3 linked regions of the Drosophila melanogaster genome follow. The gene in region 1 interacts genetically with each later gene. Each region holds a gene or a part of one and is shown on either strand. Other genes may lie near its edges.

Region 1 (6,815 bases):
TAGGCGAGATACGGGAAGAGGTGACACCGTTGGCGGGTCAAAGGTGAATAGAGCCGCTCCAAGTTCGAAATTGGTTCGTGTACCGGCGGTGGCGCAAGTCTTGCAAGTGTACATTTGCACGCCATGCCGGTTAGGCGCCCTAGCTGATTTCCATTAAGATGCTCTTTGTTTGCTTACGTTGTCAGTGGAAAATTTTTAGAACACATCGAGAAATGGGCCTGTACCTGCCTATAGACTTTGCAGTGCTAAGTCTAGACTAATCTTTGTTCGAGAGTCTGCTTTGAGTATAGTTACCAGCTTAGCTTAGTTGATTTGAGCTAACAAAGGGTTATAATATAACCCACTATCTTAACCAGATTGTATTGCATATATGACTGAATGACTCAGAATAGGAATTTTACTTTGATTTTAAGAAGACAGCAACTTTATATTTAAGTCAAAGGCGACATCGCTGGCATCGCAGCTGCGTGAGCCTCACATATGGGTTTCCCCAACATCGACCTTCGACCCCGTGACGTAAATCAGGCAGTGTCACTCACATATCACTCTCCTGTCACGACGGCATTTCGGCCTAGATAAACAAACGCACCACCCAAATGACATACGCCGCATATGTGGACTCCACATCGAATATGGAGTGCCATCCAAGGTCTGTGACATTGAACCAGCCAAAGGGGTCACACACACACTCATGCGAGGTGGGTGGGAATTGGTTACACATAACTTTCCGATTGCAGCGGAGTTCCATGGGAAATTGACTGACAGTTGGACGGTGCGACGTTTTGAATGTCAGTAGTCGCATTCCGGACGGAATCGCTTGCCCGTCAGCCGTGGAGCTCTACTAACTCCGGAAATAGACAATGGCATATTATTTACTCGGTTTTTGCTTTCACCTGCAACACTTGAAATAATTGGACACGCAGGTGTACGAAACTCGAGCTAAATTCAAATATGGGCTTTGTCTATGGGTCACCGAGTGGTAAGGTTACCCCTTTCTAGTGACAGTCGTGCAATTTCATTTGATTTTTATTTGCATTGACTCACATTTGTATAGTTGAAGTTTAAGTTTGCCAACAGACATATGGAAAATTCTAGCTATGGTTACAAAAATAAATCATTACCCGAATGTAAGGGCTTAAAAAGAATTAAGTTTAAATGTATGACCTATCCAAATTTCGAACAATATAACTTAATACCATATATATAGTATAATTAATAAGTCAACTAACAACGAACCTAATGGAATTTAGCGCCCTACCAAATAATTCCCACCACTCACCGTCCATCCGATTTTGTCGCCCCCGCAGAGGTACTCCATCTTTATGGGCAGGTCGCCGCGGTCAAAGTACATTCGGAAGAGGGTTCCTCGTCCCGGATCATTAGCCCCACCGGTGGAGCAGCCATTAAGACCCATGCCCAAGTTGAAGGTGGACATGGACTTTTGTTGGCGCCTCAGAACTGAAAATCAGTACAAATGCAAATGTGGGCAGGGATGTCATTAGGGAAACAAATACCGATGGGCGAAACACCCAAATAAACAAACTAACGCACTTTTCGGATTGGGCACCCGACTCCTGGCACTGGCTGTCTTGGGGGCGGTTTCGTGGATGGGTCCGTCGATGACGACCGTGTTCTTTTGCTGCGACTGAATGGAGAAGGGTGGAACGTAGCGCGGACGCGACGAGACCGCCGCTCCATGGATGCCGCTAAGTGGACGCAGTTGCGCCGGATTGGCGGACTTGGAGCGCGTCGGCCTGTGGTAGTCGTGCGTGGGACGCCTTGCCGTCGCGGTGCGTGCCGTTTGGGCCATGGCCATTTCCGGTTGATGCGACGATGTGCAGCCACGTAGTGTAAACAGCGAACTGCCGAGCGAAGGAATTTCTGTAGCCAGGCTGGCACTCCTGGTGTTGGCGTTGCTTTTGCTGTTGCTGTTGGGTGTCGTGTCGTTTCTATGGAGCACGTTGCTAAGGCCTGGGGCGGCTTAGTGACCGATAAGCCAGCAGTTGGAGCTAAAGCCGCTTGCTCGCATTCGCTGCGGTGCTCTCTTCCAGTCGCATTTGTTACAATAACAAGCCGGTTAGCCTTATAGGCGCCAGTTATGTTGTTATTATCATTCGACTATGCACTAACCAAAGTCCCCGGACTGCATGTAGATTTCCCAAGCACTTTTATTGGGCATTTCAGGTCAGCGAACTCATCGGAATGAAGGGGATCTGGGTTTTCTGGGGGCGCAACCGCAGATTAACAACGACAAATTGGCACAGCTCATGTCAATCATGCCAACATTTTATTCTATTTGATGAACAACAACAATCGATCCATAAAAGCAATTTAATTTTATATACAGAAGTAATAAATATTAAAACGTATTCAAAGTGAAACAAATTACCTAAACAACTTAATATTATAAATATTATATGTTAATCAGAATTTACTAAATCTTTTTAATCAAAGTACAAAGTAAATCGTCATAAATCTAATCAATAGCCATGAGAAAAACATAGAAATGCCATCATCAAGCAAAGATTTCAAAAAAGAGGTAAGCATGCGTGAGTTGTAAATTTAATTTTAACCTTATAATTCTGAGCCAATAAATTAAGTTTTAAAAAGCGCGCCAAGAGAACTTATCGATAAATGGCTAATTCTGCTATGCAGCACTGGTGCTTTGTTTACATTCTGCGGTGTTCGGCGTTTGTCTGGCAACGCCGCACCTGTTCTGTGCGGGTGGCGTGTTGCAAAGTGCCGAGGGCACTGAGAACTACTAGTGTTGGCTAGCGATCGAGTGCGAATAAAGAACAAAAGTGTGATATGTCGCTGTGAATAGCCAATTATCTGTGTTTTCTCGTGCTAAATCAGAAAATTTTTCGCAATGTCTGAGCCAGAGGTGACCAGCGTTGTAGATATGAAATCGCCCAACATATCCTCCTCCTGCTCCTTCTTCAAGCTGAAGAAGCTGTCGGAGGAGTCGCTTCTGCAGCCGCCGGAAAAGGTCTTCGACATTATGTACAAGCTGGGCGAGGGCAGCTATGGATCAGTCTACAAGGCAGTGCACAAGGAAAGCAGCTCCATTGTGGCCATCAAGCTGGTGCCGGTGGAGTCCGACCTGCACGAGATTATTAAGGAGATATCCATTATGCAACAATGCGACTCGCCGTATGTGGTGCGCTATTACGGCTCCTACTTCAAGCAGTATGACCTGTGGATCTGCATGGAGTACTGTGGCGCCGGCAGCGTCTCCGACATTATGCGTCTGCGCAAAAAGACGCTGACGGAGGACGAGATAGCCACTATTCTGTCGGACACTCTGCAGGGCTTGGTCTATCTGCATCTGCGTCGCAAGATCCATCGCGACATCAAGGCGGCCAACATCCTGCTCAATACCGAAGGCTATGCTAAGTTGGCCGATTTCGGAGTCGCTGGTCAGCTCACGGACACAATGGCCAAGAGAAACACTGTGATCGGAACGCCCTTCTGGATGGCCCCCGAGGTGATTGAGGAGATTGGCTACGACTGTGTGGCAGACATATGGTCATTGGGCATCACCGCCTTGGAAATGGCCGAGGGAAAGCCCCCATACGGTGAGATCCATCCCATGCGAGCCATCTTTATGATTCCGCAGAAGCCACCACCATCGTTCCGGGAACCGGATCGCTGGAGCACAGAGTTCATTGACTTCGTGAGCAAGTGCCTGGTAAAGGAGCCAGACGACCGGGCAACGGCCACTGAACTGCTGGAGCACGAGTTCATACGCAACGCCAAGCACCGATCGATCCTAAAGCCTATGCTTGAGGAGACCTGTGCCATTCGCGAGCAGCAACGCGCCAATCGCAGTTTTGGGGGCGTGTTGGCTGCTAGTCAGGCGAAGAGCTTGGCAACCCAGGAAAACGGAATGCAACAACACATCACGGACAACGCGTTTATGGAGGATCCAGGTACTCTGGTGCCGGAGAAGTTCGGTGAATACCAACAGAGCTCAGCCTCAGATGCCACCATGATAGCGCATGCAGAGCAAGGTGTGGATGAGGGCACTTTGGGGCCGGGTGGACTAAGGAACCTGTCCAAGGCAGCTGCTCCTGCAGCGGCCTCTTCGGCAGCATCTCCTCTGGACATGCCGGCAGTTGACAGCGGCACAATGGTGGAGCTGGAGTCGAACTTGGGTATGTAAATGATTTTGAAAGGGCTGGCCATTTGTTATTGTATTGTCTGTTATTCAGGCACTATGGTAATCAACTCCGATTCGGACGACTCCACAACGGCCAAAAACAACGACGACCAGAAGCCGCGAAACCGCTACAGGCCGCAGTTCCTGGAGCACTTCGATCGCAAAAATGCGGGAGATGGCCGTGGCGATGAAAAACCCATAGCCACAGAGTATTCTCCGGCAGCAGCGGAGCAGCAACAACAACAACAACAGCAGCAGCAACAACAACAGCAGGATGAACAGCATCTGGCAAGCGGGGCCAACGATTTGAACAACTGGGAGCACAACATGGAAATGCAGTTCCAGCAGATCTCCGCCATTAATCAGTATGGTCTGCAGCAGCACCAGCAGCAGCAGCAAGTTCTGATGGCTTATCCCCTGATGAACGAACAACTCATCGCGCTCAACAATCAACCGAATCTGCTGCTCAGCAACGCTGCGCCAATGGGACAGCAGGGAATACCGGCAGCGGCTCCAGCTCAACCGCCGCCCGCATATCAGAATCAGCATATGCATACGCAATCGCACGCCTATGTTGAGGGTGAGTTTGAGTTCCTCAAGTTCCTTACCTTCGACGATCTGAACCAGCGGCTGTGCAACATCGATCACGAAATGGAGCTGGAGATCGAACAGCTAAACAAGAAATACAATGCCAAGCGGCAGCCAATTGTTGACGCCATGAATGCAAAGCGCAAACGCCAGCAGAACATCAATAATAATCTGATTAAGATATAGGTAAAGCAACTCACAATTTCGCAAGACAACTGATTATGAAATCTCAACTCACTCAATTGCCTCTACATTGGGTTAAGTTTGCAGATGAATACTGAATCTTACAGACCCATCATCTGTATCCTCTAGAAATTATTCGTGCATTGTGCAAATTTAACCTGGTGGAAGGGTCTAAAATCAATCACAAGAAATGAAAACACAAAAGCTTTATTGTAAAATGCAGTGAAAACAGAAAAGAGGAGTCATCGGCAGTATCTTCCAGCACGAAAGCATATTTTCTGTTAGATTTCATCAAATTTATGCTTGGTTTCTTATATCCTAGCTTTCATTGATCTGTCTTTTAATATAAATAGGTATGCTCGAATAAAATTTATCTTGCGTTTATTGTAGCTGCCCGTATTGTGAACTGCCCAGGCCTTATCATAATTTAATAAGACTTATAATATTCGTTCTTCCTTGGTAACTATTAACCTTTATCTCTAAAACACTTATTTTCTGTCTTCGTGCGATAAAAACAGTAACCCGTCAAGCAATACTTATAAAGGAGAAACATTTTTATACGCATTGGAATGCATATTTTTCGAACATATATTTATCAAAGCAAAATGCACAGAAACACTCACATTTAAACATTTATATATACCTAGTACTTTTAGCAATTATAAATAATTTACATAATAAATATATAGGAATATATGAATCAAAAAATTGCATACAATATATAACTTATTCGAAAGATACTTAAGAAAATTTTGTAATAAGTAATGATATATGTAGACCAAGGAAACCTCCTTTTTATTTTAGTATGACTACTCTTGTATATCCATTTCCTGAGTTGCCTGCTGCATGTCGTGCAATTGTGCCCGCAAATCTTCGGGCAAAGTGTGCTCGTTCAAGGCACTAGGGTCTTCACCATCCACGACAATCTCCTCTGGATCTGGGGCTCGTGGCAAAAAGTCGGCATCTGGGAACATTTTGCCAAATATGTCGCGAGCATTGGCAATGGCCGCGTCATAATCCAGCTCGTAGGTAGGTGGATCGGTGTAGTAAATATGCTCGGCAGCGGGACTTTTACTAGACTGGGCAGCAATTGTGAAGTATGAGCTAAATATTATTTGTGCGTCTGATTGATCGAAGAGTTGGCTAGTGAAAATGGCTAGATCAGACGCTGGATCCTCGCTCAACGCTGGCGTGGTCAGATGGAAGATATCTGTAAAAATTAATTCATTAAAAAGGAATAATTCACATATTTTCTTAAGTTTCTTACATAAACCCTCGGGACAGGCTCCCGTGTAGTGCGACAGTTGTATTAGGAAGGCTTCCCGTCCACCTTCATTGTCAAGTAGTCGAAGAAGATTTACACCACCACCTCCCTTGTTCAGCTCCTCATTGCCCAGGGGACTGGACGATATGAACAAGCCACGTGAGATGTGCGGCTTCAACTCGATGCCCTTTGAAACTGGTGTATAGCCAGGGGCAGAGACCACATTCTTGGCACGCAAAGTTTTCCCTGCGCTGCTCAGCAGGAACTCATTCGAATTGGAATCTAAGGCAATGTCGTCAACGGCTCGCTTTAGGCAGTAAATGCCACCATAAACAGCGCACAAACGGCAGAAGCACTGCGGCAATTCCCCGCAGCCATACATGGGAAAGAGAAAGGGTGTGTTGCCATAGCGGCCCAGACTGCCCAGAAATCGTTGTGTGCGCTGCATACCCTCCTCGAAGCTGGTGCTGGGGCCGCACATGGCAATGGCCTGCATCACGCACGACGATATCTTTTCGGTCACCCGCTGCGCCTGCAAATATTCCAGAAACGTTCGTCCCCGGAATTCCAACGAGTCCTCGTTGCACTTGTCCTCGCCGTAATCGTTGCAGGCGGTGA
Region 2 (9,072 bases), 9.8 Mb from region 1:
CATCCCCATCCGCAGGCAGATGTAAATGTGTCCGAGTAATTAATTAAAATATGCATCCAGTGCATGCGATTCTCCGCTTTCCCTGGACACGTGCATTGCTCTCGTCTCGCCTTGATGTGTCCATCTGGGAGTGATTTCCATTTAGCAGGTCCATTAATCACTTTTGGAGTTTGGCTCATTATCGCTCTGAAAGTGTCACACGGCCAAGCGGATATTTATTGAATGCATTCAGTCAATGGCAAGAGAAAACAAGCAATTAATATAGAAACAAGTGCATATTAAAATTCCGTATCCGATTTGAATAAAAATATGCCAAGCTGTCAACCGGAAAGCCAAAAAATGGCATACTTTGCGCATTTGCCAACAGGTTGTATTGGGCATCAAACAAAAGATTTTCATTTTAGGACGCCGCTGCTCGCAGTCTTTATGCCCTATCCCAAATTTAACAAATTTTGGGAATTTAACAACGAGCTTTTAGCTTGATGAGCAGTCGAGATAAGAGCGAAATTCGGTGTACAATTTACGAGTATTGTTCTGAAACTCTTCTTTTTTTACACCTGAAAGCGGTCATGGATGAGTGGTTCACAAAAAAAAAAAAAAAAAAAACAAAAAAAAGACGACAGAAGAGCTCCCCAGTGACACTCTTTTTCCCGTGAGTCAACAGCCTCTGGTTTTTTTTGGCGCTAGGCAGATGTTCGTACCAAAAGCTGACGCACTCTATACGTAAGAGCGGGGAGATTTAAATCTATGGGCTCATCCCCGCGAATCACGCAAAATACGCAGTCGCAACAAAGAAAGCATTTTAATGGGCACATATGTACGTAATGCACATATGAATGTACGATCGAAAAATGTACATGTAAGTCTTTACATTTCAGTGATTCAGAAGTCCAGCTTAACAAAACCAATAGAACGAAATGAATAATATGGAATAATATTTGGATTACTCTTTTCATAAAACAAAATTGTCTGTTCATTTTTGAGAAACTAATCTTAAAAAACATAAAAATGTACTGTAATGTGGTGTTAGAACAGGAATATTCATATTCTAAATCTCTTGTGGTACTCCTGTAATGTATCTCTAATTTTCCCAGCTCTATTTGAAAACTTAGTCACCTACTTTCACCTCAAATTTAGATAGGTATTAATCTTAATTCTGACCCAGCATTTCCACTTTGCCTTGTAAATAGTTTGTTCACTCATCTTTTTAAAGTAAGCTCTAAGTAATAAGACGATCTTATATGTAAATCTTAAATACTTAGATGCTAACAATCAGAGCCCTAAGGAGTCGAACTACAAACCCAAAACTTTGATTACCCTGCCCAGAACACACTTATTCGACGGATACAAAGCTGATCGGCGCAGCCACTTTCCTCGCCTCGCTTTGTTTTCATTAACTGCATAATTCAAGCAAGTTTGCCAAAAAGCCGCAAAAGGCCAAGAGTGAGATGCGAAACTGCATAACTTTGGCCATACTTCAGTTGCATTGCGTGTAATATTTAATTATAAGAGGACGCCGCCACTCCGCCCAACGCTTTCCATGAGCGGTGCAACTTTACGGCACTTGCCAATTGCACTTTGGTGGCAGCAGCCTCCTTGGGTGCGGGGCGGGGGTGGTATAAACGTCTTGAGAGGGCATAAAATATTTAATTGTGTCACGTAACTTTCTGAAACTGACTGGCGTACGGATAGATGGCATCCCCTATATACTTCACTGGCAGAGCAGTATGCATTACAATTTTAATTTCCGAAGTGGCGGGGGAAATGAGATTACCAGACGTCAAGTGCTGAACGAAATTATCTGAGTCGTCTAGCAGGTCGATTACCATATGAAATATACAGCTTTATTCATTTGCTTTACTCCTTTTAATACAATGACGTAATTAGTTTATGCTTCCATATAAAAAAAATATATGAGTGAAGAGAAATTTTCCGCCTGGCTCATTCAGTTTTCAATTTCCAATTAATCAATGCGATTAAAATCCGCCTTCGGTTTTTCGTAATTCGTTACCTTTACAACTATGCTGAGCAGAGAGTTTCATCAGATGCATTTTAAGTGTTGCTTTTAGTCGAGTCTTTGTATTTCGTATGATGCGTATTATTTTGCCATTCCTTAGAGGATTCACACACATTTTATATAATTTCTAGATCTGGGCTGCTCTCGTAATGGTGTTGTGAAAATTAAAATGCAAACAGCTAGACAGTAACTCCTTCGTTGGAGCTGCGCGATTCCAAAACGCGTCGCCGACAACAAAACGGGATCGTAAAATAATTTAATGGTTAAATTAGGAATATAGACGGGCTTAGGGCAGCGTGTAACGGACGTAGGGCACCTCCACATCCTCGCCATCCACATCGTTGCAGCAGATCTCGAAAACCAGGGATCGCTCGTGTGGCTCCAGGCGACGCTTGGACACGCGACGCACGACCTCCGACATCGGCAACGGCAGTCTCTCAGAGCACTTGGCCTTGGGCATGAAGAACGAGTACAGCATGGACACGCCCTGCGAGAGCATGGTGATCTTAAGCTTCTCATTCTCCTCGAAATAGTTGAGGAATTCCTGCAGCGACAGCTCCCCGGTCACCTCAAAACGGTCCCACAGCGTCCACTCCTTGCCGTAGTATGTGTTCTTGGCGGCAGGAAGCGGCTCAGAGAAGGCCATGAACGGCAATGCCAAGTTGGCGAAGCCGTTCTTGAATTTTACGAGATCCCGGTGGCCGACGATCAGCTTAATCACCTCGAGCACAGCCAATCCAGAGAGCACCGACGTGGTGGTGGCAATAGCAGGTATGATTTTGCCAGCAATCAACTTGGACTTGTGGCGATCCGCTGGCGGAATCTTGTAGTTGGCGGCGCGTAGATTTGAGCAGGCCACAATGAAGTCCATGTGCAAGTTACTGTCGTCGTCCTTTTCAAACTCAAGTGGCGTGATCTTGGAGCTTTTGTCGGCGTTCTTTAGCAGCTCTGAAATGATCTTGTCAACGCGATCCTGGTCCAACTCGCCGTCATCGAAGTTATTGGCCGAGGCGGCGGCTGCTGCCTCATTGGTTTCTATTTTCACGCCCGAACGGGGTTTAAACTCGGGCACCTATAAATCAATAATATCAGAAATGGTCCCCGACGGTATTAATCTCGAACAACTAACCTTAACCTTCTGTACCAGCTCTGCGATCGTCTCGCGATTGCGAACCTGCTCAATGCCATAGACCTCAGCTCGAAGATTGGCGGCTGCGTAGATAAAGTCGAGGTGCATGGGATCGTTGACATCAAAGACCAGGGGATCGGGGCACCGCTTGGGACCAGACCAAAACGGCTGACCACTGGAGGTGATCTGATCAGGTGGGAAGTTAAAGAGCAACTGCTTAATCTGGTTAACATATTGATCCTCCCAATAAAGACGGGCCCACTCCACGCAGTGCGCGAAACTCTTGGGTTTGTCGTCGATCAGAGCTTTCTGTAAAAATAAATTACCATTAAGTACAACATATTAGGCAAAGAAGTAAATTCTATCCTTACCTTGATGGAATCGAGGATCTCCAGAGGCTGAATACCAGGCAGCTTGGCGATTCGCTCGGTGAACTGAGGATCGGCGATGTACTGAGCAGCATTTTCTGCAGACTGCTTGAAGACGCCCTCAAAGGCGTCACGCGCCCACTGCAGAGTGTGCTCGATGGCATTGGGGAAGTTCTTCAGCGTGCAGATGGGAATACTCTTTTCTGGGGGATCCTGGGAGGAGCTATAAGATTCGGTGGCAAAGGGCACAATCACCTGAACGTTGCCCAAAGTTCCCAGAGTTCCGGTCTCGACGAGCGGAATGCGGTTGAAGATGCATTTGCGATCCATATATATGCGAGCATCCACGTTGTCCAGCGCATTGGCTACACCATCCAACTTTCCAAAGAAATCTTCGGAAAAGACTTTCTCTGTTTCGGCGCCAACGCGCAACTCGTATGCGGTGACATTCACTTCCGGATTCATCCGTTTGATAGCGTCGGCGGCCGTCATTGATTTAGGCTTCTGCACATCATGCGGGCGGAACAGGAACTGCCGGTTCAGATTCGACTTCTCAATGAGATCCATGTCTGTGACGAAAATCTGGCCATTGCCAGTTCCCAGGCCCAGCATTCCAAAGTTTTTCAATAGCTCACAACCAATGGCTCCGGCGCCGACAATAAACCATTTCGAGTCAGCCAACTTCTCCTGGAACTTCTTGCCAAATATGGCAATCTGAGAATCATAGCGCGAGCCCACCGGCTGGGCATCCGCCTCCTCGACACCCTCTGTGGGCAGACACTCCAGGGCGTCAAAGTACAACCACTGGTAGATGGGTGTAAACTTTCCACTGCAGGCCTTAAGCACCTCCTGGGCCACAATTCCACCAACGGCCGCGTCCAGCGGGCACGTATTACCCGAGCAGATTTTGGCGAATTGCAGCACCAGTTTTTCGTCGACTTCCGCGTTGCTGCTGGCTCGGACTACCTCGAGGAAGCTGTTGGCGTCCTCCTCGTTCCAGGGACGCGGTAAGGCTCCATTATGGGCCTTGCGGTAGCAGGAGAGGGCATTGAAGGCCACGTGCAGCGTGGCCGGCGAGTCCAGCTTTGCGAAATCGGAGATCAAAAACTCCGGCTCCTCAGTGGCCTGTGCCAGGGGCTTGAAGCTGATGGTCTTGGGCATCTTCACCTGGGTGGCCACTCCTCCGCTCTTATATTCTCCAAACTTGCTGGTATCACCGATGCTAAATGTGTAGGGTCCCAGCACTGTGATCTTAAGGGGCTGACAACCGTTCAGTTCCTGCATGCCCTGCACCTCCGAGAAGGTGACGTAGTCACCGTCATTAAAACCATGGCGCGTCTCGTCCAGGCAGGTGACGACTCCCTGTGCGTCGTGCGTGATACTAGCTATCATGGTGGAGATCGGCTGTGTGCCATCCTGATCGTAAATGGTAAAGCTCTCGCCAAAGTCACAGAACACCTTGGCGAACAGTCCGCGCGTCTCGGCGATGATCAGAGCAATGCCATTTTCATGGGCAAACTTGGCGATCCTCTGCTGCTCCTCCCCGTCGGAGTTGGTCAGTACCACAACGCGAAACTTGCGCAGGAACTCCTCGGTAAGCGGCCCCGTGTGCGAAACGGTGCGCACATAGTTGTTTAACTCGGCCAACTGGGCGCAAGAGGCCTCCGCACGATTCTTGCCGATATCGGCTTCCGTGAGATAGAATTGCGACGACAAGTCATGGAGCTGCAAGACAAACGAATAATCATTAATATTATATATCAACGGTGATGAAATTAGCAGACGGGAGCCATGACTAACAAAGGAAAATTGGTTCTGTGCCGAGTGTACAGCAAAGACATATTTGTCATTAGAACAAAAAAGTTTTTATGATACAAGAAAACTTTAAATTGAAAGGCTATTAACTAAATAATTGATATATTACGGTTTATGAGAAACTCATAGATCTTAAGTTGAATCTTTCAGTGCATAAAACAAAACCGAATGCGTTGAGCAAAGGGGAATGCAAACACAACGGCAGCGAGCGATGCGCATACGGTTGTCCCGCTCACACACTTTTCGCATGGCGCAGACATTTTGAGGCAAATAGAAAAAGAAGGAAAACCGAATTACACACACAAAACGAATTTTTTGCAAGCAAATAGAGATGTTAACCTAACCTTATTTCGCGCGAAGTCTATGATAAATAAATCAAATAAAAACTGAATGATTCACTAAGACCAGGGATGCCAAGTCAGCCTTTCCGGGCATTTCCCGCGTCCGCCTGGAAAATTATCGATTTTTTCTTCGCCCCACACACATACCCCACAAGTTGCTGTGTCATGCAAGGTGATCGATTTCACGCCGCCCAGAATCACATTCTTGGCTATCTCCAGGCCGAGTCCTCCAAGTCCCGACAGAAGGATATCCGAATTGGCCATCCGACGCATCGCATCGTGACCCAGGACGTACAATTGGCGCGAGTACAGCGATTCATCGATATCTCCGCCGGCGGCGGCACTGTTTCCAGCCATGTTGCTGCTTCCTTCCAGTTGTCGGTTATTAGTGCTGTTATTACTGTTATTGTTGCTGGAGCTGACGTTGTTGTTGCTGTTGCTAGTGGCGGATGCACTGGAGGAGGCTTCTTGCGATTCTATTGTGGTGGTGTTCAGGTAATTGCGCTTCTCCGGCCGCTTGCTTCCTTCCTTTTCCACTGCTGACGAGGTACTAACGTCGTCGCCGCTTCCTTGGCTCTGTTTCAGTTTCTGCTTTTCGGCTCGCTTCGCCGCAGCATTAACGCCGCATGTGTCAGAGGTAGACGACGATACGCACAATTCCAGCTGGTGCTCGCTAGTCGTCTTGCTCTGGCACTTGCCCGAAATGTCAACGCCGCCTGCTTTGTCGTGATTTTCGTAGTTGTTGCTGCTACTGCTGCTCGTTGCTCCGCCGGCTTCTTCCTCTTCCATTCCCATTGCCCCCACTCCGTCACCCAACAACTCTAAACGCCTTTTTTTGGCCAGCGGCGAATGGTCACTTGAGCTGCAGGCTGGCGAATCGGCCATCAATTGCTGACCGCTCGACATAGCTTCCTTGCTGAAATATTGGCAATCGAATTTCCCAGTTGCGGCTGCACCGCTCGCCCTCTCTCTTTCGCACACACGCACACTGCAGAATGCGGACACACGCACACGGATGGACACACAAGAACGCTATTTAGTCCGGAAGTCAATTTCCCGTGGTTTCTGACTCGTTCCAGGACAGCGGATTCTATTTGTGGCCGAATTTCTAACAACGCACTCCCAAAAATACAGAACACGCACGATCGAGTTGCAGTATAGAATTCGCAGTAGTGTGGCCGCGGCTCTTGAAATTGGCAAGCCTGCCCAGTGTGACCGACCTGTGTGAATTGGAGGTGGCACAATATAGATTTTATTGCGATGCTATCGATATTTCCGCAATTGGTTAGTTAGGTTTCTTTTCTATATAATAACGCCCAGATTAATAATCCAATTAATTCACATTATTTTAATAATTAAACAGACGGCTTTCATTTTTATTATTCTATTATTTGTAAGTTGGCCAAGTAAAACCAAATGAATTTACACAATTAAAATTGGTAAGCGGGACAAATAAATCAGATTCAAAACTGATTTGCAATACTCCAATTAGCAAAGAATAGGCAGTGGGTTTAAAGCCCAGCTAAGCGCAGTTAAGACTTAAACCTTTTGTGTCACTAACTTATCTAAATAATATTTTTTTGGAGATCTGGCAGGCCTGAATAGTCTAAGAGGCGGTGTTGGTAAACACAAGTTTACCGCGTATTCAGGATACATTTGAAATCGTTTATGTTTATGTTTTTACTACACCGACTGAAATATTAGATTTTGTTAGAGTTAGTTAATTCTTTTTAAACTTGAAAAAAAAAACGGTTCGGGTTCAAAAAATACAAGCTCGTTTAATGAAAATATGGCTCGCATTTTCAAAAATTTGTTGATTTCAATTGACATTTTTTTGCTATGTAATGTTCGAAATTTAAATGTATATTGGTAATATATTTATTTGATAAAATTTAAAGTGGGTTTTAATTTGTTTCAAACTGCTTATAAATAGATGATAACAGACTTCTGGGTCATTACTTTATTTTTCATAATTGTGGTGCAAGCACAACCCTGATATCTTGATATTATTCATTATAATAATAATAATTATTCATTATAATATAGCTTGGCTTCCCCATTATAAATTCCTATATACTTTGTACTGGTCAAACTTAAAAGTAACTTATACATGTATATGGCTTAAACTTGATATTTTTGAATTATGCCATTTAATAGATCGTTCTTATTTTTCTAAACAATTCAAAAATTGTGTTCCCTTCTTCTATAAATAAAGCAATATTCACAATATTTTGAATAAATAAAATATATTGGAATATTCGTTTTTGTGAGTGACATAATATCGATTGAAAGTTAATTTAGCAAATACATATTTCAAACGTAGAACAACCTCTTAATAGATGTGTGTTCAAAAAACTTAAATTTAATAATTCTTTACTCTCCGATTTCATCAACTTCTAAGCCATTAGCTCGAAATTGAAATATATACTTCAATGAGTTTGCTGGTCATCAATCTGTCGGCACTTGAGGCAATTATCCTGGCCCAAAAACCCCGATCGTGGCACGCGCCCCTCGGCAGTTGTCCCACAAACCAACACCAACTGACCCACGGCGAAGTCCTTCGGTGTCGCTTGGTCCTGGCCGGGTTCAATATCCTTTGAGAGCGGCTAATCTATTTTCGGTCGGGGTTCCCTTTCTGTTCTGTGCAACGGTAGTCGAGCATGAAAATGCGTAAATTTCCACGAAAAACAGAGAGCTATCCTATACCAGTTTTCCGAGCGGCGGGGGTGTGTCCTTTTCAAGTGTTGAGAGCGTGCCATTAGGAAAATGCAGTACGAGGGGCAACAGCTGCAGGATCTAAAGCCCGGATCTTGTCGCACAGTTGCGTAAAATGCATTTTAATTTACGCCTACAGCTGCGCGAAATGCTGCTCCCGTTTTAGAAATTCCCCCCTCCCTCCTCCGACGCTCTAATTTTAGTCCGATCTCGATAGGATCGAGAAACTAGCCGCGGACTTTATCGCGTGCGGTGTGTTCCACGTCCTTGTCGCGTGGTATAACCCGAAAAACACAAATTCCTGCCAAATTAGCATACTGATCCTGCAGCGAATGAGCGGGGGTGTCTGCTGCCCATCTGTCCTCCAAATATTCTGCATCGCGTGCCCCCGAAGAGATATAAACATGCATACGTATGTACATATGTGGAATGCACTCCGCCCTCCCTAATTAAGCACATCACATATGGCCACGCATCATCCCTATGCAAATATTCAACCATTAATCAATTGGGAATGTAATTTGAATATGAAAAGCCGCTGAAAAAATGGCTGGCACTATTAATTTCGCCGCTGTCAGCGGCTGGCAGGGTAGAAATGCCTATTCCCAAAAATTGGCAAAGGGCTTTGGGTTATTTTTTTTTTTTTTTTATCCTACACCAAATTATTGTAACAACAACTCGGCAAAT
Region 3 (6,633 bases), on another chromosome or scaffold:
GTGTGACTGAAAGCATTATTAATAGAGAATGTCGGCGGCTAAACTCAACCACATATACTGAAAGCACTCACATACACGCAAAAGGGATATAAAAGCAATAAGGACATTCATCTTCATAATTACGGGCAGCGAAATGAGAAGAAAGTGCGAGGATGCGAGGATACGATGTGGCATACGCAGAGAGGGAAATTCAAATGAAACGCAAAAGTTTTGCATATGCGTTGGGGATGTGTATGCTGCCAACGGAGTTGTGTATTTCCACCTACACAGAAGAAAAAAATATTTATACTCCGAATCACAAATCGTAGAAATGAAAACTTCACAGGCAAAGCAATATACTATGTAACTATGTAAACTGTGTAATTGAAAAATTCACAGTCACAAAAAAGAATCTAGAACTTATTTTCGTTTTATCATAATCTGAAATAACATGAGTTATTATATATTATCTATTTTTCAATACAGAAAAATTAAAACAATTTCAAAAAAATATACATATGTAATTTTTTAACCTTTTTCGCTCAGTGTGTGCTTGACCAAATGGGCATCTCATGGAAATGACAGTTAAGCCCGCCAACGTTGGTCACCCCAATGAATGCCGGAGCCAGCATTTTCTTCCCCACGAATGCAATCAAATGGAAATTGTTAAAGAAAAGGAAAAAATGCCAGTGAGCACGATTGAGTGGATCGCAGGACTTTTGGCATTTCACAAGGGTGCAACGCATCGGTCTGCACTAATTACGCACCAAACATGTACGGCAAATCGTCAAACCTTTGAATGCCACAAGCGAAAAAAGGGGCAGTTTTTGGGGGGCGAAAAATGTTTGCCAAATGTTTTTCCTGCCTGCTGCAATTTAAATGAGACGTTGGCCAAATGCGAGGGTGTCGCCTGCAGTCGCTGTGTGAAAGTGGGCGGGGCGGGGCGGGGCTGGTCAGTGGAATTAATTCTAATCCCGAACACGTTCCGTTGCGAACGAAGTGGTCAGTTGCGATATACTATATAAATATATATATAATTGTATATACATGCATATGTACATATATAGAACTCCTTAGTGGAGTTTCAATTGGTGGAGGGTGCGTCGATCATTAGCGTGATTTCTTTCCGCTTTGACAAGAAAATCAGAACGCTTCACTGAACTCCATCAGGACGAAAAAAAAAAGAAAAAAGGAATGTCTTAGTCGAATGGTGTGACTATTAGATACCCGTTAGCCAGCTTAAGAAAGTTGGTAAGAGTTGAATATATTTAAAGTCTTAACTGATTAAAGTTAGCAAGCAGAGTATCAGCAAGGTACTTAATTAAAAGAAGAACCAAAGAGTTAAATAAATGCAAGAAGGTAACAAGCAGCAGTGCGACTATCAGATACCTGTTACTCCACAAAACTTTCTTGAGAAGTCTTAGCGCTAGAACAGGAAATGCTCAAAAGCAGTTACATAATTACTGGCAATAATTTATGTTTATTTTTAAGCTTTAATAAACATCAATAGAAAAATTTAATAGAAAAAATAGAAAACTGAGCGCCAGTTCTATGTATCTATTTTGTTTATAAAAACAAGTAAAGTATACAAATTTAAGCATTGTTAAGGTATTAATTTTCTTAATGATTCAAATTATTTGTTACATATATTTTTATAAAGATTTACCAATCGAATTTTAGTCGTTTGAATTCGCTTAGATTCGTTGAAATTCGCTTCTAAATCAAAGCAAAGAAGCGAACCAATGTAAAATATATGTAAATGTAAAATTGTTGGTTCGGTACTTCGACGCGGGATCTGTTTAACGATTTTTTCAGTGATTTCGACACAAAAAGAGTAACTACTGCAGTTATTTTGCTAATAAAAAATTTAACTATATTATATGATAATTATAGATGATATGATATTAAATATAAATATAATTAAAATTTATAATAGTCCGATTTTTGACCAGAACTTATTATCGACATTATATAAGCCCATTATATACAAAAATGATTCCTAAAACAATCAAATAAAAGTAGAGTTGTGCCACTCGCCTTAGTATAACTTAGTTCTAAAGTATATGTTAATTTTATGTTAAATTCATTTTCGAATAATGGAAAAACGAGCGCCAATGTTGCGCTAGGGATTTCTAAACGATATGTAAACGATATCGTATATCGCACGACAATCGCCTGCGTGTAGAACTTAACAATCGATAGTTGTATTTAGCACAGAACCAAACCAAAAAATGCTAAAATATCAGTTTTGAACAGTATAGTGTGACCGCTATATGTGCCAAAAATCCCGTATTCAGTATTTGGTATTATTATTTGATATTATATTTTTATTGGCATTTTGAGTTGGGACAAAAACGCAAGGCAAGTTGTTGGTCTTTTTCGCTGTCTGCAGACGGATAAAAAGTAAAAGAACGCAAATCGAACGCGCCGCGAACGTATTGCAAAATCGCTTAACTCGCGGCGCCCTTGAAAACGACGAGGAAAAGCGAAAAAAGGCTGCGAGAGCTAGCGCAAAATCGAAGAAAAAACTGTGTATGTGCGTGCGTGTGAGTGTATGAGTGTGACGTGTGCGTCGCTGTGTGTGTGAGCGAGCTGGCATGCAGATGTAGAGATGTGTGTGCGCTGCTGCTGCGGCTGTGTGTGCGTGTAAATTGAATAAGAAAACGGAGCACAAATGGCACTGATGGAAAATTTATATGTGCGCTGAAAAATTAATTTATTTGCAAAAAGCCAAAGAGCTGCGAAAAGTAAAGTGACAAGCGGAGAGATGTGCAAAATCGAAAGAACGAAAAATTGTGGATTGCCGACTCTCTGCAGATTTGAAGAGAGTGGCAGCGAAAGAGAGACATAGAGAGAGAGTTTGTGTATGTGTGGGTGTGAGCCGCCTTTGCCAGGAAAACTAAAAAGAAAAAAATTCCCTGGCGTTAAAATTTGCACAAAAAATGTTGAATTCGATTGTTTGCTTTCCGCAGTTCGGCGTTTCGCTTTTTTTTTTTGCACAAAACTTTTTTCGCCAATTTTTCATGCACGCTTTTTCGTTTATTTAATTCCTCTCTCTCTCTCTCCATCTCTCTCTCACTCATTTTTTCGCTCTCCGAATCGACTCTCTCGCAGTGCTCTCCGCTTTTTGCTTGTGCACAGCCAAGTGTCAAAACTGTCATTTACCTTCCTTTTGTCCGATTAGCAAAACGCAACGAAAAACTAATATCCCATCCAAATTAAATTCGTGGCCGTTCGCTTGTTTTAAGTTTATTGTTTTACGCCAAGAAACAAGTAATTTTAAATTGTTTGACATACGCGTAAGTGTGGTAAAAATGTAAAAGAGAGGCCTTTGCCTCTTAGTGCAACAAATCGATCAGAAAGTAACCAATAAAAAAGCAAAGCAAATCGAAACATGTTTCAAAACGAAGGAAAAATCAGAGAAATTCAATGAAACAAAAGTGCAAAACAGTCGCGTAATTGTTGGTGTGTGTGTGTGTGTGTGTGTCAGCGTGTGTGCCCATCCTTTTGGTCTGCTTCTTCACTTTCGCTCAGTTGTTGTTGCAGCTTGCACTTTGTACCTTAGATTTTTCCCATTTCCTCTTTCCATTCCCATTTCTCCAAAACAGCTGGCCAAGCATTTGATTAACTCCAATATTCCTTCGTTTTCTACTGTATTTTATGTGCCATTTACCTTTGTTTATAATGTCAGCTGGCCCGGCATTGTTGTTTATTTTCTGTTCTGCTTCGCCTTGATTGTTTAGTCAAGTGTTAGTTTTGTTTTTGTGCCATTTTGCAATTTTCTGCTTATTTGCCATCCGATATTATGGGGTAATTTTTTTTTCATATGTGATTTTTAGTAGAAATTCATATAAAAAATTGTGTGTTCTGTTTGGTTAACGGTAACTCGAATTACACACAAGTGTTTAGAATTATGGATACGTATTTAATAACAGCGGTGTGCAATAATAGTAGATTTGCAAAAACCAACCAGCATTTCTGAGAATATTAATTTCTAGTTTATGAACTAAAATATGAAATTCACTCTGTATGAGTACCCTTTTTATACAAACTTGAAATGAATAAATCTGATTAGCTTTGAATGCCCTTGAACCAATCTACAATATCTTCACGATCATAATGATCATCCCTTTTAACGCATCTCCGATTTCAAAGCAAAACAAAATAAACCTCAGGCCAGATCGGTTTTCTTGTCAAGCCGCGTGGCAAATTTTTCTGCTTACCATGCACCATTTTGTAACTATAACTGGACGATATATTTGCGTTTAGGAATCGGATACACTTCAGATTTCTGCCAACTCTTTGATACAACCGATGGCACAAACTCAGAAAGGTTTGGATTGTTTTGCGAGTTACTTTCATAGGTATCGGTATCAAGAAGTTGCAAGAAATAAGCTGGGGTTTCTTGAACAGGGATCTATCTGCATAAAAGAAATGCGTGTGCAGACAGTCACGTCGACCAAACCAGAATTCAATCAGTTCATTTTTTTTTGTAATGTAGGAATTTCGGGGTTGATTGCTAGCGGAAAAGTACCAATCTTTCAACAACTGGTTAACTTTTTGAATGAAACCATCATAAAAAAATAACTAATTATTTTATCTAGGGTATTGTCACTTTCGGTACATTTAACACCTATTTGCACCAATTTTCTTTGATGTCTTGTTGCTTTATTTACATTCTGCGACTCAATTCAATTGAGAAATTATATTCGATTTCAATTGTATCTGAGTATCTCATGGATGCATTGTCATTGTAATCTCTAGCTTGTTGTTGTTCCTTTTGCAGCCGCCTCCTCCTCATCTTCGTCGCTGCTCTTTTCTCGTTTGATAAACATTTTCATTGCCTTCTCTCTGCATACATCGCTCTCTCTCGCTCTTTCGGGTTCTTTTACTTCCTCCTACAACGCCTTCGTTTTTCTTTTCCTTTTCCCTTGCCATTTTTTTTGCATTGTGAATCATTTCCTTGCGGAAAGGAAAAGAGCGAAGAAAAGGTGGGAAGTGCCTGTGGGTGAAAGACAGGAAAGGAAAGTCACTGATTGAAAAGTTATTAACTCGGTTGAATTTTCATTATGCATTATTTAACACCCTGGTGTCCTTAAAGTTCAGTTTTATATCTGTCAGCAAGGTATAAATTTTTAGAGGATTTTTTAGAGGATAACCCATTTATTTTTTGTTTCTATTTTTTGCTCCTAAAGGCCTTTTTTGTTATATCCCATTTTCGTTTTTGTTTTTACCGATAGTCTTAAAGTTTAGTAGGGCTTGATAAGGTTTTGATGGTTTAGCTGAGAAAGCAGCAGTGCATTTTATTACCGTATTTTGTATTGGCAATATATCCTGGCTTACCTTTGATGCACTGCGAACAATCGGGACACCTTTCCTTTTGCTTTTCATCTTCTTCGGCTGCTGCTATCATCATCAATATTGATTACCGGCAGCTGTCCGAGAGCGGGAGAGTGCGAGCGAGCAGCCGCTCTCCTTTTGCGGTTTGTTTGGTATGCGGCCCCCACCCCGTCCCGCCCACTTGTAGGCGCCCACGTTGGTAGGAAGGAGCATGTGGATGTAGATGCGGTTGCGGAGGGGCCAACAGGCTGCTCTCGCTCTCTTGCAGCTCCCGCTCTCCGATTGCAATTTTCTCAACGCGCATTCGCTCGCTCACACTCACTCTCTCTCGCTCGCGCTTGCCTCTTTCTGTACTATCTGTTGTAGTTGCTTTTCATTACATTTGTTGTTGTTGGCTTGCCATCGATTTTATGCTTTGTCGTTGCAATTAGTTCTTCTTCTGTTGCTTGCTTCTTGTCTGCACTTTTAGTTCTCATTTTCTTTTCACCCCATCTCCTTGTTGTTGCTTTTGCTATTGAGGAAGGCAGTGAGCAGAGGCAGAAGTCCTCCTCCTCCTCCTTTCCATTCGCCGATTTGTTTGTGTGCGAAATCTGGTGCCTACAGCGATACTTTGATTATTGACTGCCGGGGGGTTAAAAGGGGTCCCAAGTTTATTGTCCAGAAGATGAGTTACAAGAATGGATACTCCACTTCCAGTGGTTCTTGATGAATTGGGTATTCTGGTTCGGTTTGGGTGTGCGCTTTTTCAATGGATTAAATTCTCTAATTGAGCCAATTTCGTCTAGATTAATTATCCATTCTAAAGAGCTATTGGTTTTCATTCATAACAACTGATGCCCAATTACCACAACTTTACTCCCTCAAATTATATTCGAAATCAACTTAAGTTGAAGAAGAAGCTTTGGGCCAACACCTGCGTGGCTCAAGAACAAGGCCAATAGACTCTTAAACCCCCAACAAACAGCAGGCCAAAAAACTAAAAAAAAAAAACAAAAACAAAAATACCCACCTTGAGAGAGTGCTACGACCAATGTTGACCTATAACTGATTTTTTGTTATTCAGTTGTTCTTCTGGTTTGCTGGTTTTGTTGGTTGTCTCTTTTTTTCGACTCTCCTAGCCACAGAATAATCAGATTTTTTTGCGTCGTTTATAACTCGATTAGGCAAAAGAAATAAAACAAAATTAAGCGAGAGAGAAAGAATAAAAGAGCAGCGTCAAGGTCTTGACTTTGCCTTCTGGCAGGGCAAACGCAGAGTTCAAACGCCACTACAGTAATCACTCAAAAGTCTATATATGAATTATTATATAAGTTT

Evidence for each region. A genetic interaction does not mean that the proteins touch.
Region 2: of hpo (region 1) and Uba1, changing one enhances a phenotype caused by changing the other (phenotypic enhancement), as found in Drosophila melanogaster (one study listed by BioGRID).
Region 3: of hpo (region 1) and bun, changing one suppresses a phenotype caused by changing the other (phenotypic suppression), as found in Drosophila melanogaster (one study listed by BioGRID).

The regions. Positions count from the first base shown.
Region 1 is NT_033778.4:19,492,803-19,499,617, reverse strand, and holds hpo (hippo), read left to right. Parts: upstream 1-2,761; 5' UTR 2,762-2,869; coding exon 2,870-4,157; intron 4,158-4,214; coding exon 4,215-4,936; 3' UTR 4,937-5,622; downstream 5,623-6,815. Other genes in the region: CG15120 (uncharacterized protein), read right to left, coding at 1,280-1,458, 1,552-1,816; Rep (Rab escort protein), read right to left, coding at 5,743-6,143, 6,201-6,815. UniProt on the Drosophila melanogaster protein: Plays a key role in the Hippo/SWH (Sav/Wts/Hpo) signaling pathway, a signaling pathway that plays a pivotal role in organ size control and tumor suppression by restricting proliferation and promoting apoptosis.
Region 2 is NT_033778.4:9,686,465-9,695,536, forward strand, and holds Uba1 (ubiquitin activating enzyme 1), read right to left. Parts: upstream 6,865-9,072; 5' UTR 6,577-6,864; coding exon 5,818-6,576; intron 5,240-5,817; coding exon 3,518-5,239; intron 3,456-3,517; coding exon 3,147-3,455; intron 3,090-3,146; coding exon 2,304-3,089; 3' UTR 1,825-2,303; downstream 1-1,824.
Region 3 is NT_033779.5:12,542,288-12,548,920, reverse strand, and holds the start of bun (bunched), read left to right. Parts: upstream 1-2,309; 5' UTR 2,310-2,511; exon of another isoform or gene 2,512-3,278; intron 3,279-4,577; exon of another isoform or gene 4,578-4,981; intron 4,982-5,322; exon of another isoform or gene 5,323-5,745; intron 5,746-6,633. UniProt on the Drosophila melanogaster protein: Probable transcription factor required for peripheral nervous system morphogenesis, eye development and oogenesis.